2 linked regions of the Schizosaccharomyces pombe genome follow. Changing the gene in region 1 together with any one later gene gives a genetic interaction. Each region holds a gene or a part of one and is shown on either strand. Other genes may lie near its edges.

Region 1 (7,704 bases):
AGAAAGTTAAATTATTATTATTCTAGATGTATATATATTAACTTTTGAAACACGGTTTTACGCTTTGTTTGCCAAATGAAATAATCGAGTGTTTCAATCAAACGACTTAAATTCTTGGAAAAGGTAACTTTGATTTACGATAACAAATATATTTAAAAATTTTTAATATTGAACAATTTACTTTTTCGTTTACTCTATTTTGCCGTAAGCCAAAGGGTTTATAGATACATTTCACTCCCCATCAATGATTTATATAACGAAGCAACAAAAGCTTTACAAGTAAAATACAAATTCCAAAAAAAAAAAAAAAAAAAAAAGGAGTAATGTAAATATTCTATCATGGCAGTAGTTTCATTGCATTAAAAAAAAACGCTTTTGCAAAATATGAACACTGTAAAATGAAATAATCAATCATAAACTTGAAGATGAATTTTTAAAAAAAAATCAAAATTATAAAAAAAAGTTAAAAAAAATAGCTAAAGACACTACAGATCTTACAATCTTTGTGCGTCTATTTTATATACTATCAAAATAACAAAATATTAATAAACTCAAATATAATTTGCCGCATATTCATAACAGGCGATGTAGTACAATAAAACAGTTCGAAAATATTGAGAAGATTTTTTTTTATAATCAATTCATGAAAATGCCAAAGCTTCAAATATCAACTCAAAGAATGGTTATTATGCTGTCAACATCGACTTTCTCCGAGTCTATAAACGAAGCGAACGAGTTACAATTTATCTTCGTAATTGAAGATTAAATTATGTATTAATTCTGTAGAAGTTCAGATTCCATAACCTTAATCTCAGGTAGAAGTCGTACTTTTACTTGTATGTGCACGAATTGGAACAACATTAACAGTCTTCATTTTTTCGCATATTGCTCTACACTATTAAAACCGTCTTAAAATTGAAGACGATGTTAGAAAAATTATTTAGCCATCATTAGGAAATAATTAAATTAAAACATTTGAGGACTCATAGTTTCTTGACTTTATGATGAATTTGCAATTTATTTAATTAAGGACACTTAAATTTACAAGCTGAGTATTTATAAAACAATATTATAAAGAGTCATAAAAAGAAGAGTGATTATATAAATCAATAACTGAGACAAGAACAAACATTCGCAGGAAACATTTACTACAATATTATTATTTAGCTTGGAGCACTTGTCATGATGATATAGCGTATCTTTAGAAACTTGTACGAACTGCACAAACCTGGTTTTTCATGTATGCTGTAATACATCGTTGAAGTCCGTAAATTGCTTTAAACCATGCTGCGGCGAATAACATTATATACAATATAACCGTATACAAGTATAAGAGTTAACTAATGATTATATATATTTTGTTACAAAGTTATGCATTGCATAATATTATAATTAAATATGGAATAGTTACAACTAAACGAACGAAACATGACTTCGAAATTTACTACAGCTGCACTTAATTTAATAAAAGATTTTTTTTAATTTTGGAACGATAATTTTATATTTGCTGCGGAAATTGCGAATTATAGAAAACATAAATAGTAGAGATAATTAACGTATTGTAACGAAACAAGAGATTGCTGACATGTTAAATATACATAACAAGCCATAAAGATTCCATAAGCCAATTAACGCGATTTGCGGTCACAACACTAAGCATAGCTCACCATTCGTTTATATGACTCAATTGTCAACAAAACTCTTAAGATAATCATTGTAAAGAATTTAGGACTTTACAATTCCGGCTTTTCTTACTAATGAGTAAAAAGAAGCCTATAGTTCAATGTAAGTGAAATATTCTCTTTTAATTGTGAGCTAATGAAGTGCTGTTTAGATTATGATCCTTTTGACTTATGGCCCTCAATAGCTACGGACATTGAGAGTAAGATTCCCCTTCGCAATTTGCAATGGGTTGAATCATATCAGTATAAGAAGCACACTATTACAAGCTTAGATCTTGAATTTTTGCCTTGGTTAGAGGAATTTTCGTCTCAAGACACCTCAAAGGATCCTACGTTACTGAATATTCCTTTAGTAAACATGCTTTTTCTTCCAGAGCAGGTAAGTACAGTAAGGAAAGTTGACCTTGTAACCTACCATCAGCTTCCATAGTTATTCTGATTGACACGCACTAACATTGTAAAAAAAGGACGGTGAAATATACAAAACACAGCATAAGCCATTGGCTACAAAATGGTTCCAAAAAGTTTCGAAAAACGAAAATCAATCTTGGATGATTGTACTTGTTGCTGAAGCTCAGCAAGCAAAACGCTCCAACAGTTTGCGTCGCACTCATTCTCGATCTAGTTCTTATTTCGCTGTAAAATCGACCATTGATAGGGTTCGCGGAGATTTTAATACTGGAAATATTAATCATTGCGTACGACTAGACTATGTTCGATTTGGGACCCCCGATGCTGAAGGTTGGAACGAGTTCCTCAAATGTCTTGAGTGGGCCGTCCTCAGTTCATTGGATAGCAGATTTTTACAGCTTTCTGAACAAATAAGGTCGATAAAGTTGTTTGATAGCTCTATATTCTCTGATTACCTATTGTTTTTTCTTCAAAAGGAAAGGCTGGCCGCTAGCTTTTTTGACCTTGTGTTATATCGGGAATCACTAGAACAATGCGAAGACATGTTTTCAACGCTTTCTAAAATAATAAGTGCCATAGATGGAAAAAAAGAGAACATTTCCAAATACTTGGGAGAGGGTTCAGATGCTCAGCCAGACCTTAAGGATTTCAATTCTTCCTTTCTCATATTAGGATCACGATACAATACCCTCCACAATCTTTTAGCAGATGGCGATTTTACATTATTTCATTTCACTTTATTTCTTTTGTCAAAAATAATCTTACTGAATCTAAAAATATCCGACTACGAGAAAGCATTTTCAACCCTTCAACAGGCCTTACTATTTTTAACCTCGTCCTTCTTTAATGAATTCGTCCAAAATAATTTGGAAATAATCGCTGCATTTAATTATGATTGTTATACTCTTCTGTTTAAGAAAATTACTGAAGCTATCCACAACAATGATACCCCAATCCCATTGTGTTGTGCAAAAATTTTACTGTACGCTCGTCGCCAGTTAACAAGGATGGCAAGATGGAACAACCTGATTGATGATTCTTCGCCTCTCCTTTGGCGTGAGCCTAGTTTTCCATTGATTGAGCATCACGACAATAGCTTATTAGACAATCGCTTTCAAAAGCTTTCGGAGACTATCTCTTCGACCAGTTCGTTTCTATCAGAGTATTACAGGCTATCTTCTGAGGCTTTAAGTATTTTTAAAGCTTATAAGAATCGCTATTCTTTCGTTAATACAGCTTGCGATACTGGATTGGCACAATACCTACTAGAAGACTATGAAAACGCTTATGCTTCGTTAAAAAATGTGGACGTTCAAACTGCATGGTCAAATGATCCTTTGGAAGAAAAATGGTCCAAATTTTACGTAGACTTACTTGAAAAACTTGAAAAGTTTGACGAAGCTTTGGAATTTGCTTCAGCTATTTCTAAAGGGAAGGTATCAATATATAACAAAAACAAGATATTGGAGCTTTCGAAAAAGACAGCTAAATCAAAGGTTTGGAATCTGGATGATTTTTTTACAATAGAAATACCACATATGATGGCCGTGGTGCCCCACGATGATGGAATTAACTTGAGCTTTATGTGCGAGTCAAAAGTTTTTGACCTCGAAAGCGTTGATTCAGTTACATGTAATTATGTTCTTTCTTCGAGTAAGAATCCAATGAATCTACTATTTACGCTGCATAATAGTATAACGGACGGAAAACTTAACGTGCACTGTAATGTAAGTGATCCCACCTTTTATATGTTTATTAACAATGGAAATAGGATATTATTCCTGGAAGATATCATTTGAAGACAATAGTTTTTAAACTCAAAGACAGTGTGCTATCATTTCAAAAAGATTGCTTGCATTCTAACAAACAAATTGAAGTATTGAATCCTACCAAGCATAGTAACCATCTGTATATACTTCAATCAAAAATTTCGCAGCAGTTTCAGAATGATGGAATATTTGCTTGTATACCTATTATGTTTGGTGAACGATTTTACAAAGCAAGTTGCTCAGAGATAAAACTATCTTATATAGAGAATAGCGGTTTTACAAATTTGGAAAAGTCTTTCCTTAGTGAAGAATCGCATTGTGGCCTTGAATCAAAAACTGATTCCTTGGTGATAAAAAACATCCAAAAAGTTCCAGGAGTAGCCAAGTTGTATATACCCCTAACAAATACACCAGTTGAAGGAAATGAAGTATGTAAAAAAAAATATTTCACTATTGCTAACCTTATTTAGTTTCTTATTAACTTGAGCTACATCTTAGAGTCTGGGCAGACAGTTCGATTTGGTAAAGTATTACATATTGAAAATGCTGGGATTGTTGAAGCAAATTGCGAAAAAACAAATAATATGAGGGATCCCCTTACGAGTACAATATTTTTACATATCCAACCAAAGGAGCCCATCATTTTCTGTTCATGGAATTGCATGCGCAAAACCAAGCAAGGTACATATGATAATGTTTTTGATATACCTTACAACATTCCTGTCTTATCCCCTATGGATTGCTTTACGAGCTGCCATTTTGATTCGGATATGTCAATAGATTTGAAGTTTTCCATGAATTGTCTACGTCTTGCAGATGTCGTATTTATGAAATTATGTGTAAACATATGGGAACGGTTCGATTTCATTGACATCGAACATATCATGCCGTTATTAGACCACGCTTGTCAACAGATTTCTTTATCAAACATTACCCAAGGTACGGTAGTACTGCCTGAAGAGATTCGGAAACTTAATGGCAAGAAAATTTTAAACTCATTTTTTGATAATGAGGAGCTTCGGAATGAATTTAGTGAATTTATTCAGCATTTAGAGAGCGAAGTATCCTTTAATAGTCTCAGATCGTTCGTTCAAGAGTTTGAAAAGAAGGAACGATTAAAAAACTTACCCTTCTATTTTTCATTGCATCAAACAATTGGACCTTTACCCTTCAAAGATGAAATGCAAAGTACCACTATCGAGTATATATGGAAGATTCCCCAGAAGGTTTTGTTGAATAAACCTACCGAAATTACACTCACATTCCTTAGATCTTTGACACATTCAAAGAAAGAGAAACAGGGACAGTCCTTCGAGATATTTTACAATTTTCCAGCTTATACTACAACAATCTTGTTTGCTGGACCTACTCAACGAAAGATTGTATGGGAAAAAAATCAAACTACAGCACAGGAACAAGTTACGGCGGTGTTTCTTACGGCTGGGAGAGTAATGCTACCAGAAGTAGTTGTTCATTCAAAAGACGATGATATTTCCATATTGAAGAATACAAAGTACACTCTAGTCGGGCGTCCTTTGAACGATCAACCGGATCTAGATTATGCACCTTAATATGAATTTAGTACGGTAATAGAAAAACAGGTATTTTTCCTTTCGAGATTTTTTCTAGCGCAAGCGCCTGGCTTCACGCTCAGATTCTAACAAGACGAGAATATCATCTTCACGAACAGGACCCTTGACGTTACGAATAATGGAACGGGATGTGTCATCCATGAATTCGACACGGACTTGAGTAACACCACCACTGTATCAATATTAGTTTTTAATTCGAATATCTATCACTTTGTTACATACCGAGATCCAGTACGTCCGAGAACTTTGATGACTTTAGCCAACTTAACTGGGACCTTTGAAGAATCCATGTTGTTAGACCAAGAAGTCTTTCAAAATGAAGTTTTGTTGTGTTCAAAAATGACAGTCACGATATATTTTAGCACCTTGCTTCGTAATGCACTATCTATAGTATTTTGCCATTTCTCTCAAATAACGATGTGTCTAATCATTAATAACCTACGTTGTCGTTGTTGTTCGTTAAATCTATCTGTTATGAGAATGCCTCAGTTACGAAGTGTAATATATAGAAGTTTGCTGGTTAATTAGCTCTCCGGTCCTTCCTACATTTATGTTAATTTCAATTATTGTGTGAACATTTATATTTTAGTTGTTCAGTAGAAAAAAAAAATTGATTAATGTGAACATGCAAATAACGTAAGTAAATGGTAAATAAAAGCAAGCTTCCGCTTGCCAGCAAACGAAAGATATTGCTTTGAATAGTCATAAAACTGATAGAGTGTTGACAGTTATTATTCAAACGAATCAAGTATGAGAGGTATATTCACTGCTGTCAAAGGTTCAATTGACTTTGATATGCGCAACACTTGAAGGAAATCACTCATTAAAGCAATGTCATCGCTTGCGTTAATGAAGCTGGCAGACGCTTGCTCAAGTTCCGAGGCCTTCTCTTCGGCCGCATCAATTACCTTCTCAGGTAAGCCGGCCATACTAGCAACATTCATACCGTAAGACTTAGGGCAAATACCATCTTCCAGCTTATACAAAAACGTTACACGTCTGATTTTTTCATCAACAGCTGCAGCCATCTGCATCAATCGTACTTGTCGATGATGCATAAAATCAACGCAAAGACTTTGATAATGTGTAGAAAAAAATCCCAAACACCCAATATTAGAAACCAAATGATGAAGTACAGCGTAAGCTATCGCGTGACCATCATAAGTACTAGTTCCACGACCTAGTTCATCTAAAATTACCAAACTTTTAGGTCCACATTCGTCCAAAATTTTCTTTGTCTCCGAAAGTTCAACCATAAAAGTACTTCGTGCCGACATTATATCATCATTGGCACCTAATCTAGTGTAAATGCTGGTCATAGGTGTTATACTAGCACGTTTAGCCGGAACCCAGCACCCTAGTTGAGCCATTATAACAGCAATACAGACTTGACGCAATAATGTGGACTTTCCAGCCATGTTTGGACCGGTCAAAACAATCATGTTTGGGGATTCACCTCCTAAAACGACATCATTAGGAACGAAAGTTGAAGCCGCACTTGCGTTTATACAAGGATGTCTCAACTCCTCAAAATACAAGTGTCCGTCCTTCTGTTCAATAATTTCCGGTCTACAATATGGCTCACCCAACGCTGCGGCTGCTTGACTAAGGCTGAAAAAGCAATCAATAGATGCAGTATATTTAATTAAAGCCAACCATTGCTCATAATTAGAATCGAATCGAATATAAAATTTCTCCTGCATTCGCGACATAATTGCTAAATGAAGCTCTTCCGCCTCTAGTAATTTCTTTATTTTCTTTCGTAGTTCATCATTATAGTATCGATTGGTTTTTTTGGTACCTGACATTTTGCACCAATTAACCGGTACTTTAACATCGCTTGGGACTTCGACCTGATAAACCTCTTTACCAATATTTTTAAAATTAAGAGACGAGCACCTTAGCTGCTTCTTGTATTGCTCTAAAAGCGCATACAATTCGTTTTTAAGTTCGGACTGGTATTTTTGAGAAGTATCATATTCGGCTTCAAAGCCAATCTCTGGTTCGAAAACACCTTCTTCTGAAGCCTTTTGCCAATTGAAAGCTCGGGTCCATGCTTCTAATTCCTCTTTCATGTTAGGTGCACTTTGAATTATCTCTCCTAGTAAAGTTCCTTCAGCGACTTCCATGAATTCCTCGCGAAGCTGATCAAATGCACTATTTATTCGTTGGAATCCTTCTAATACTCGAACAAAATCTGCGGGTTTACTTCTTCCGGCATGCACCCGTGATATCAACCGTTCCAAGTCA
Region 2 (8,966 bases), on another chromosome or scaffold:
AAGCTTTATCAAAACCATTCCTTTGTCTTCACTACCTCCTCTGGTAGCTGCGCCTACTTCTCCAAATACTTCTTCTACTTTAATTACGCAATCTGCTGCACCTACTCCTATAGCCTCGACATCCATTAGGATTAATTCTTTTAATCCAAGAAATGGATCCATTAAGCGTTGGCGCTCTTTTAGTCGTCATTCTAGTGCCACTTATTCCAATAGTCCGAGTTCAAATTTTTCAAACATGAAAAGCTCCGAGGTGGATCCTGGTTCACCCCCAAGAATCAAATCTCGTTCGTATTCATTGTCTAGAAGCTCATCTATGAAGCTTTTCCATACACTTGATCGCCGGAGGGAAAATCGTATGTAATACTTTTAATTGTTTTTCTCTGTTTATCTAGTTTAATTGTCTTTGTCCTTGGTTGTATGGCGAAGAATCTTTTTGTACATATATACTTAGTTGTTACCGTCCGCTCTTTTAGTTTTATTGGGATTTGCATTTAGGCTGGATACCGCTACTGTCGTTTTATGTTTTTTTCTTTGTATTCAGCCATTTTCATTTTAGAAGTTCTACTTAACCATAGTAAGAACAAATTATCCAATTCGTTATTGTTTTTTGTAATTGTTTTTTGTTTTGGTAGATCAATATATTTATCTACATAGTAAATTTATCTGACAGCTTTCAGCTACTTTCGTAATTTTAAATTTTTATTAATTTGGTGTCCATATATCTGTACAAAGAAACTTTTATGAAAACAACAACGACATTGTAACCAGAAAGGATTTATCAATCTATACTTTATTAGGCTCCAAGGAGATCCTGTAACAATTGTAAGAGGCGCTTCTGATCTTCAGATAACTCTTCATCATTATTCACTGACAAAAACAATGGTATCTTCAGGTCTGCAAGGATTGCAAGCTGTTCTTTGTACATCCTGTTTGTCAATTGTACCACTTGTTCATCAAATTCTTGTAAAGCCCTATTGTCATCTAAAGTTTGAGCGGAATCATTGTTGGTCTGGTCATTAAGACAATTGGACGGTTGTTTCAATTTAGGGTCGGAGGAAAGCGGTTTCAGTATTTCTTGAAGCTTAGTTTTCGACTCAAAATGTTGAACTAGCCGCTGCCGTTCCAGAGACCAGTTGCGCTCTTGACGTTCCTGCATAGCCTTCATCTTTCTTAATTTTTGTAACTTTTCGGGATGGCGGGAATTTAGGGCAAAGATGTACCTCAAGGCAGCGGGATAGGTTTTAATTTTTTCTGCGTCCTCTATAGAATTGTTCAACTCAAAATCAGAGGGTTTCCGAGCCTTCGATAGAGGGATGGATGATTTGTCTACATTTTCAAGCTGATTACTCGTTACGTTGGAGGAGCTTTGAAGCTCTTGAAGCAAATCTGCGATTTTTTTATCCATTTGGAAAACTCATGAATTTTGTATGCATCAAACACATTGATATTCAAAATAATTTATCTAGCCCAAAAATAGTTAAAAGAAATTGAGAAATTAAGTACTAAGCAGTGGTGGAGCTGGGTTCGAGAACAGAATCCTTAGATTCAGATGTAGCGGTAGATGGTTCGCCGTTAGAGGTGACATCGGGCTTTGCATCAGTAACGGGAGAGTCATCCGTTTTGGAAGTTTCTTCGGTTTTTAATTTTTTTTCATTTTCGGGTTCGCTTTTTATGCCATTTGCAACTGGCTCTTCGGAAGCGTTGGGAATACCAGCAATGATGGAAAATTGACCACCTGCACCCGCTACACGGATCGCCACTTCCTTGATTGCCTTGGAACGAACTAATGTAGGAACAGCTACATCTTCATCATTATCACCTTGACCAACCTCGTAGTTTTCAGCAGATCCCCATGAATAAACCTTACCATCTGAGGTAACAGCCAAGTTGTGATGGGTACCACACACGACCTGTATAACATTAGTAAGTCCTGGGATTATAGTAGGGGTTGACAAGTAGTAATTGTTTCCCTTTTCATCTTTAACTACTGTTTCTGGAAGTGCATTATCCGGAATTCCTAATTGATGACGATCATCTCGACCCCAGGCTAACACTCTCCCATCTTCAAGTAAGGCTAGGGTATGATGTTCACCACCTGTAATAGACTTAACATTATATCCTTCTAAAGCATCAACGAGTGTAGGCTTTGTAATAACGGCGCCTTCTTCTTCATCTTCTACCTCTATTCCACATTGTCTGGTTATATTTAAGCCCCAAGCATAAACGCGTCCTTTGTTGTCAATCGCAAAAGAATGATACGATCCTGCTCCAACTGAAATAATATTTTTTAAAGCTAACGGTTGAGGAGTCAAGCCTTGAAGTCGACGACGTTCTAACATACGTCTACCCAGTTGAAACTGTTGACCATTACCCCATGTATATACTTTTCCTGTGGTAGTCAAGGCAATAATATGGTCCGTCCCTGTAGCTAATTGACAAATTTCGGGAAGTCGCATCTGCGTCGGTTCAGCTGTACGTTTTTGAGAATCGCTATACCCTAATACACCATCGGAACACTAGTATGTTAGCAAACGAAAAATGATAAATTTATAAAGCCATTTGTTCCAAAAGGGCGAAGGGAAATGATACAATGAGTCAATAGACTATAAACAACACTGCAACGATAACAGCACCTGAATTTGGAATCAAAGATCAAATGATAATTTTTCACGGCCAAAACAAATTACTTACACGGAAAGTACCCCAAGTAAAGCAGCAGCCATTGTCCGTTATTGCTGCAGTGAGATTGTCGCTACATATAACTTTTGTAACGCGTAGATGAGATAAAGCACCTTCGACCTTAGAAGGAGTTCCCTCTAGTAAATCATTGTCAACTTTGTCTCCATTCTCATCCTTTTGATCCTTAGTAAGACGACCAAGGGCATAGTCATCATTAACTCCCCAGGTGTATACGCGACCGTCATGAGAAAGGGCTGCAGAATGCATGCCGCCAACAGCCAAATCGACTACTCCTACTTTATCTGTAGATAAAATAGGATTCAAACGAGGACGATAAACGACATCCATTTCTTCTTCGCCCATACCTAGCTCGTTCATGGAACCGCTTCCAAAGACGTAAACGTTCAATCGTTCCGTAGGTAGTTCAGGTATCTTATTAATTCGCTTTGCGCTTCCTGGGACACGAACGGGTTTGGGTAGAGAGCTGACCTTTGCACGTTTAACCGGCTTTTTGCCATTTTTCATCACATCTGATTCATCTAATTCTCTTTTTTCAACCCCATTTTTTGAGACCTCCTCTCTTTTAGTTGAGCTTCTAGTACTTCTATTAGAAGTCATTATGAGTTTTAGCTGGAAGGGTTAGCTTTGCTACTAACAATCGATTTGTAATTTAAAAAAGAACAAGATGTCATCGCGTATTCCATGCAACCATCACCAGACGCAAATCCAAGAATTACATTTACTTTTTGGTACCACTTACTATAGCTTGGGTTTAAAATATTACAAAAGACAAAAAACAACGATTTATGTCGTTTTTGTTTTCGCAGAGACGTTGTTTTCAAAACTCGAACAAGTCGTTCTGTATACGGATTCTCACTATTCAGTATACTGCGAATCGTTGTTATGTGCAGCTTGTAATTAAGCATTCGTTAATTACAACATAAGCTTCGTTTAGCAAAATAAGTTATTGACTTCAGTAAAAGTTCCCAGCTTGTATTTGTTCAAATGTGTGTAAGGTGAGCTACGAATTTTTATGAAATCCTTTCTTTTTTTTTAACTTCATTTGATTTATATAAATTCGTTTAATCACGTCGAATGTTGAAAATTTGAGACCTCTTCTTATCTGAGAAAGCGGTTTCATGTATAGCTAAACAAAGATCAAATTTAAAAAAAAAGCTCATTAGTCATAAGAAGTTACAGTAAGACTCGGAGTGTCCATCGTTCAGCAAGATCGTATGCGAGAATACGAACTCAAGCAACGCGATTTTAATCTCTTCATAAATTATTTTTATGAGGACCATATACTTTTTTCCCTCATGATTTAATATTTAGTTACAATGAACATAGTCGTTAGCAGTTTCTGTTTTCTTTATTCTTTTCTGGATTTATATGTCTGTGAATTTGCCATGTCATAAATTTGGGTAACGATGTTACTCAACTTGATTCTACAAGTTTGCCTGTGAACTTGAGTATACTGTAAAATTAATTTCTCTTCTTAATCAGCTCAAATTATTAAAAGTTGTAGTTGAAATTTTCAAAATACGGCAAGTTGTCTTGTGGGGGGCGGTTTTATCTATCGGTAATGGCTCAAAGGTTAACCCTATAGAAGGGACTTGTGGTGTTTGGTGACTGGCTCAGTACCTTGCCAACAGCAGAATTGGCATCCCTTGCTCATCTTGATCAAAACTGTGTAAATACAGCCTTTTCAAAGAGTAAGTTATTATAATAAATTTACAACTAACGTAGATAGGGCTTCGGATGCTGTCCCATTGAATTGCGAGAGTGTAAACAATAACCTCGCGACTTCAGCCAGTATTGAACAAAAAACCTCTCTAGGATGTCTGTTGCATCCTTTCTCACGGGCGAAAAGCTTCTAGCAGGATCCAAGTTTGTAATTGGAAAATACAATGTTACTATCGAAAAGTACATAGCCGAAGGTATAATTTTTGGGTTGGATGGATCGAGGAGTATTACAATGAAAGATTTATTTTACTAACATTTTTCATTAGGCGGCTTTTCTCATGTATATCTTGTTCAAACAAATTCCAAAACTGATGGATCACCGATAACTGCTGTTTTGAAACGCATGTATTCTCCAGACGAGAATGCCCTGCGTTTCGTGAAAACTGAAATCGAAACGATGGTATGTTAACGTTATTGATTTTTTTGTCTAACTTATTAGGAACTACTCAAATCCAATCCCCACGTGGTTTCGTATATCGACTCCTGCATATTTCCTCTCGAGAAAGCGGGTGTCAACACTGGATTTGAAATCCTGCTTTTGATGGAATACTGCGCTGGGGGTGGATTGATAGATTTTATGAATCAAAGGTTACAAACTCGGTTGTCAGAGCATGAAGTCTTAAAAATTATTTCAGATATTGTACAGGGTGTTGCTTCCTTACACTATCTGAGACCTCCTCTCATTCATCGCGATCTGAAAGTAGAAAATGTTTTGCTAAGCTTTAATACTTTTAAATTGTGCGATTTTGGAAGTGTGACTGAGCCAATGCATGCTGCTGAAAACTCTAGCGAAATTCAAGCATTAGAAAAAAGTATCAACACATTTACTACCTACCAATATCGTGCCCCTGAGATGATTAATTTGTATTCAGGCTTAGGAATTGATGAGAAAAGTGACATGTGGGCTTTAGGAGTCTTGTTATACAAACTCTGTTACTATACAACTCCTTTTGAAACACAAGGTCCTAACGCTATATTAACAGCTTCATATTCCTTCCCCCCATTTCCTCCTTATTCACATTCTCTTAAAAATGTCATCATCGCTTTACTTCAGCCGAATCCTTGTCTTCGTCCAAATATTTTTCAGTTGATGTGTGAGATATGTCGTCTTAGAGGGACGGCTTTACCTTTTAGGGATATATACAGTGGAAGAGAGTCGTCTTTTTATGATTTGCATAACCGGAAAATAATGTCTTTGCTTCGACAAACAACAACAACACCGTTTGCTGGAAACCAAGTCATGCCGACTCCACAGGTTCAGGGCTCAAGACCTCCCCCTCCTCCTCCTATGCCAGCTCCTATCTATAACGTACCAAATGTGCCGACTGTACCAACCGTTTCCCCTAATCCATTTTTGCAACCTACTTTCTCTGGCACTTCTCAAGCTAGTGCACATCCTTCTATCCACAGCCAATCCGCAACATTTAACAACACTCAAGATGTGAACAGACAGAGTGTTTCGTCTCCGAAGGTTGTTTCATCAAGTTCTGTAACTGGCTCAGGAGCTAGTGGTCGCAAAGTCTACACACCTCAAAGTAAGAATCCCTTCCCAATATCTCAGGGAGTCACGGGAACATCTTCAAAATTTTCTGCTAGCGAGGTTACAGAAGATAATGGTTCACCAAACGCCGGACTCGATGCCGATAACGTTGACGTTGAGGAAGTTGTTAACCAGCGTTATCCTGATCTAAATGAGTTGGAGTCACAGCTTACTAGTCATACTAATATTACGACTAGTTCTCATCATAACCCTAGGGAACAAGAGATAGCAAAATTGGCTGATGATGCATTCGCTAGTTTCCGTCAGACAGCTGGTACTTCAACCGCAAATAGTACTCATACCACTGGTACTCAGGATATATCTGCCTTTGATACAAATTTTTCGGAAGGGGTTGGTAGCGTAAGGTCTTCTTTTGATTTCCCTGATCGTCCAGTATCTAGACGACCTTCAAGCACTTCTAGGTCGTCTGTTAAAATTACTGGACCTTCGAGCCCCAATGCGCGTTCTATGGCTTATGAGCAACACTCCTTTAACCTTGATGATTTGAGTAATACTAATTTTGGTTCTAATAATTCTCTTAGACATGCCAAATCATTTTCCAAATATTATTCACCTTCTCATAAAGATTCGAACAAAACTTCCAGAAACACATCTAAAGAGGGGCTCCCCTCCAGTCCTACTATGCTCTATCGTACAACATCTAATACTAGAGGTGACTATATCGTTCAACGCACACAACAGTCTGCCAATCCTTTGACAAATATCGAACCCCAAGATATGTCAAACCTTAGTACTGATATTAATGCTTCTGACGTTGTTGCCGATTCAACCAACTCTATTCTTTATCCTACTTCGACCGCGTCTTCTGTTGCCAACACTATTGCCTCCGATGTTGACGACTTTGGAACTTTTAATGGTTTACAAAGAACCGTGAGTTTACATAGTGAGCGGGCAAGTCTTGACAAGAAGCGTCCTTCTTTTCATGACAAAAATCCGTACTTTAAATTTTCTCCAAGCAAGTATGTTGACGAAGGATTGGAAGGTGAAAGTGAATTAAGAGAGCGTGTACGAAGTTATGCTAACCGCTCAAGTTCAAGTTTCCATAATCCAGATTTAACAGACACAGAAATTCAAGAGACGTCTTTTAATAACGATTTGAGGCCTGTAGCTTCTATTCAAAGTGCAGAAACCTCCAGAAGCGTAAGTGATAGACCTGCAAATTTTCCAGAGGAATTAAACGACACGTTATTTGAGCAAAAATATCCGGGAATTGTTGATTACGAGGAACCCAATTCGAATGCAGAAAAGAACGTTAATATTTGAGTTATCAACCAGACTTTACCGACTTTAAACTAATTATATTTTTTTGCAATGATTTATTTCCTTATTATATATATAAATCCTTCATGCAAATTCGGTGTTGCCTTTGAAGAGTTTTAGATGGATGATTTTTTGATATGTACCGCTTGATGTCACGGCCTGTGCTTCAAGTCTTTGGAATTTTTACTCATGTTATTCTCTGTATCTATCGTTGTTCACTAGTTCTCCAGGAATTGGAGTTCCCTATACATAACTCGGATACATAGTAGCCAAAATTCTAATATCAGTTTTTCAATATAAATTCCATTTTTTGGATTATTGTAAAAGCTTTAGTTATTGACAAGTTATTATTTATTTTCAGCGCAGAGTTTTATGTTGTCAAAGCTCGTTATTCCAATCGTGGTTAAATAATCAGAACAAGTAAACAAACAAATACCCAACTAGATAACATGGATTTGTGGAAGAAAGGAAAGCGCTTCTTTCGATTTAGTAAAGAACCAGTAATTACATGTATTAATACTAGTTATGCTGGTAAAGAAATTATATTTGATTTAATTGCCAACCCGCAAATGGAAACTAAAGATGTCAATCTTACTTTGGATTTTGATGCACCAATTTTCCACCGAAAAGCAGGAATAGACGGGCTGCTAACACTAACTAATAAGTCAAAAGTAAACGAAATTCAGCTGATCAGTATCGAAGTCTTTATAATTGGAATATGTAAACACAAGTTTCATTCGTCAACAGTCTTCCTGTGTTTAGGAACTCACATCATGGAAGGGCAATACATTGTACCAGAAGAACTCTTAGATTATGCTAAAAAAAGGGGGAAAAACCGGATAATCAGTATTCCCAATCATTCAACAGTTGACATTCCATTTCAAGTCAATTTTCCTAAACACGTCGAAGTAGGACCTGGCCGACAAATCCATTCAAGGGTAAAGGTACAGTATTTTGCATACGCGTAAGTAAAAGTGACAATGATACACGCAAGCTAACAGTTAAGCAATATAATTTACCAAAGCGCAGACAAATTGAGAAGTCGGAGAGAATGCCAAGAAATAAATGTACTACCCAGCATATCACCATCCTCGTTTTTAGACTCTCCCTCCATTATGTGCGTAAGTAAACAACCAGACTTAAAAAAGGACCGTCAACGTAAATCGGCCACAAGAATTACTGTGAGTTTGCCCCGAACAGACTGGCTTGCCGGTGAGTCAGTGGTTTCGAAAATTAAAATCGAAAACCATAGCAAATCCTCAATTAAAACCTTAAAACTTTGTTTGTACAGACGTATTATTGGCTTCGATCCACCAAGTTGGAAGACACAGCAAATGATGAGCCATTTAAATTTAAGCCGAAAGAATTCAGAAGTCTCCAAAACATGCAAATGTTTGCAAAAAGAAACAATCAGATGTAATAAAAAGAGTAACTGCTATAATTGGAATGGAATAGCTGCTCTAGAAACGTATACAACTGAATGTCATATTCAAATACCTGATAAAGAGGCAACAATAACCGTCGGCTCAAATTTTGAAGTTGACCATTTCTTGAAAATTTCTGTCGGGAATAAATTATGGTAAGGATTAAAATTTAATTAAGATATATACTAATACTTCAAGGACACTTAATCGAGTAGAAATACCGTTCAAAATTATTTCGGCCAATTCCCTTTCGTTAGAGCAAGAGAATGTATTTTTAAATCTAGAAAAACTAACGAATA

Evidence for each region.
Region 2: mutations in trs130 (region 1) and ppk29 together harm fitness more than expected from each alone (negative genetic interaction), as found in Schizosaccharomyces pombe (one large-scale study listed by BioGRID).

The regions. Positions count from the first base shown.
Region 1 is NC_003421.2:1,821,617-1,829,320, forward strand, and holds trs130 (TRAPP complex subunit Trs130), read left to right. Parts: upstream 1-1,704; 5' UTR 1,705-1,757; coding exon 1,758-1,785; exon of another isoform or gene 1,786-1,834; coding exon 1,835-2,061; exon of another isoform or gene 2,062-2,149; coding exon 2,150-3,820; intron 3,821-3,864; coding exon 3,865-4,290; intron 4,291-4,314; exon of another isoform or gene 4,315-4,332; coding exon 4,333-5,433; 3' UTR 5,434-5,487; coding exon of another isoform or gene 5,488-5,626; 3' UTR 5,627-5,676; coding exon of another isoform or gene 5,677-5,744; 3' UTR 5,745-6,185; downstream 6,186-7,704. Other genes in the region: rps2802 (40S ribosomal protein eS28), read right to left, coding at 5,488-5,626, 5,677-5,744; msh6 (DNA mismatch repair protein), read right to left, coding at 6,186-7,704.
Region 2 is NC_003423.3:2,487,532-2,496,497, forward strand, and holds ppk29 (Ark1/Prk1 family protein kinase Ppk29), read left to right. Parts: upstream 1-4,314; 5' UTR 4,315-4,391; exon of another isoform or gene 4,392-4,429; 5' UTR 4,430-4,516; coding exon 4,517-4,616; intron 4,617-4,688; coding exon 4,689-4,822; intron 4,823-4,861; coding exon 4,862-7,246; 3' UTR 7,247-7,687; downstream 7,688-8,966. Other genes in the region: Rho-type GTPase-activating protein Rga5, read left to right, coding at 1-361; SPOM_SPBC557.02C (uncharacterized protein), read right to left, coding at 794-1,405; pim1 (RCC1 family Ran GEF), read right to left, coding at 1,503-2,516, 2,692-3,297; SPOM_SPBC557.05 (arrestin, meiosis specific), read left to right, coding at 7,693-8,207, 8,250-8,822, 8,866-8,966.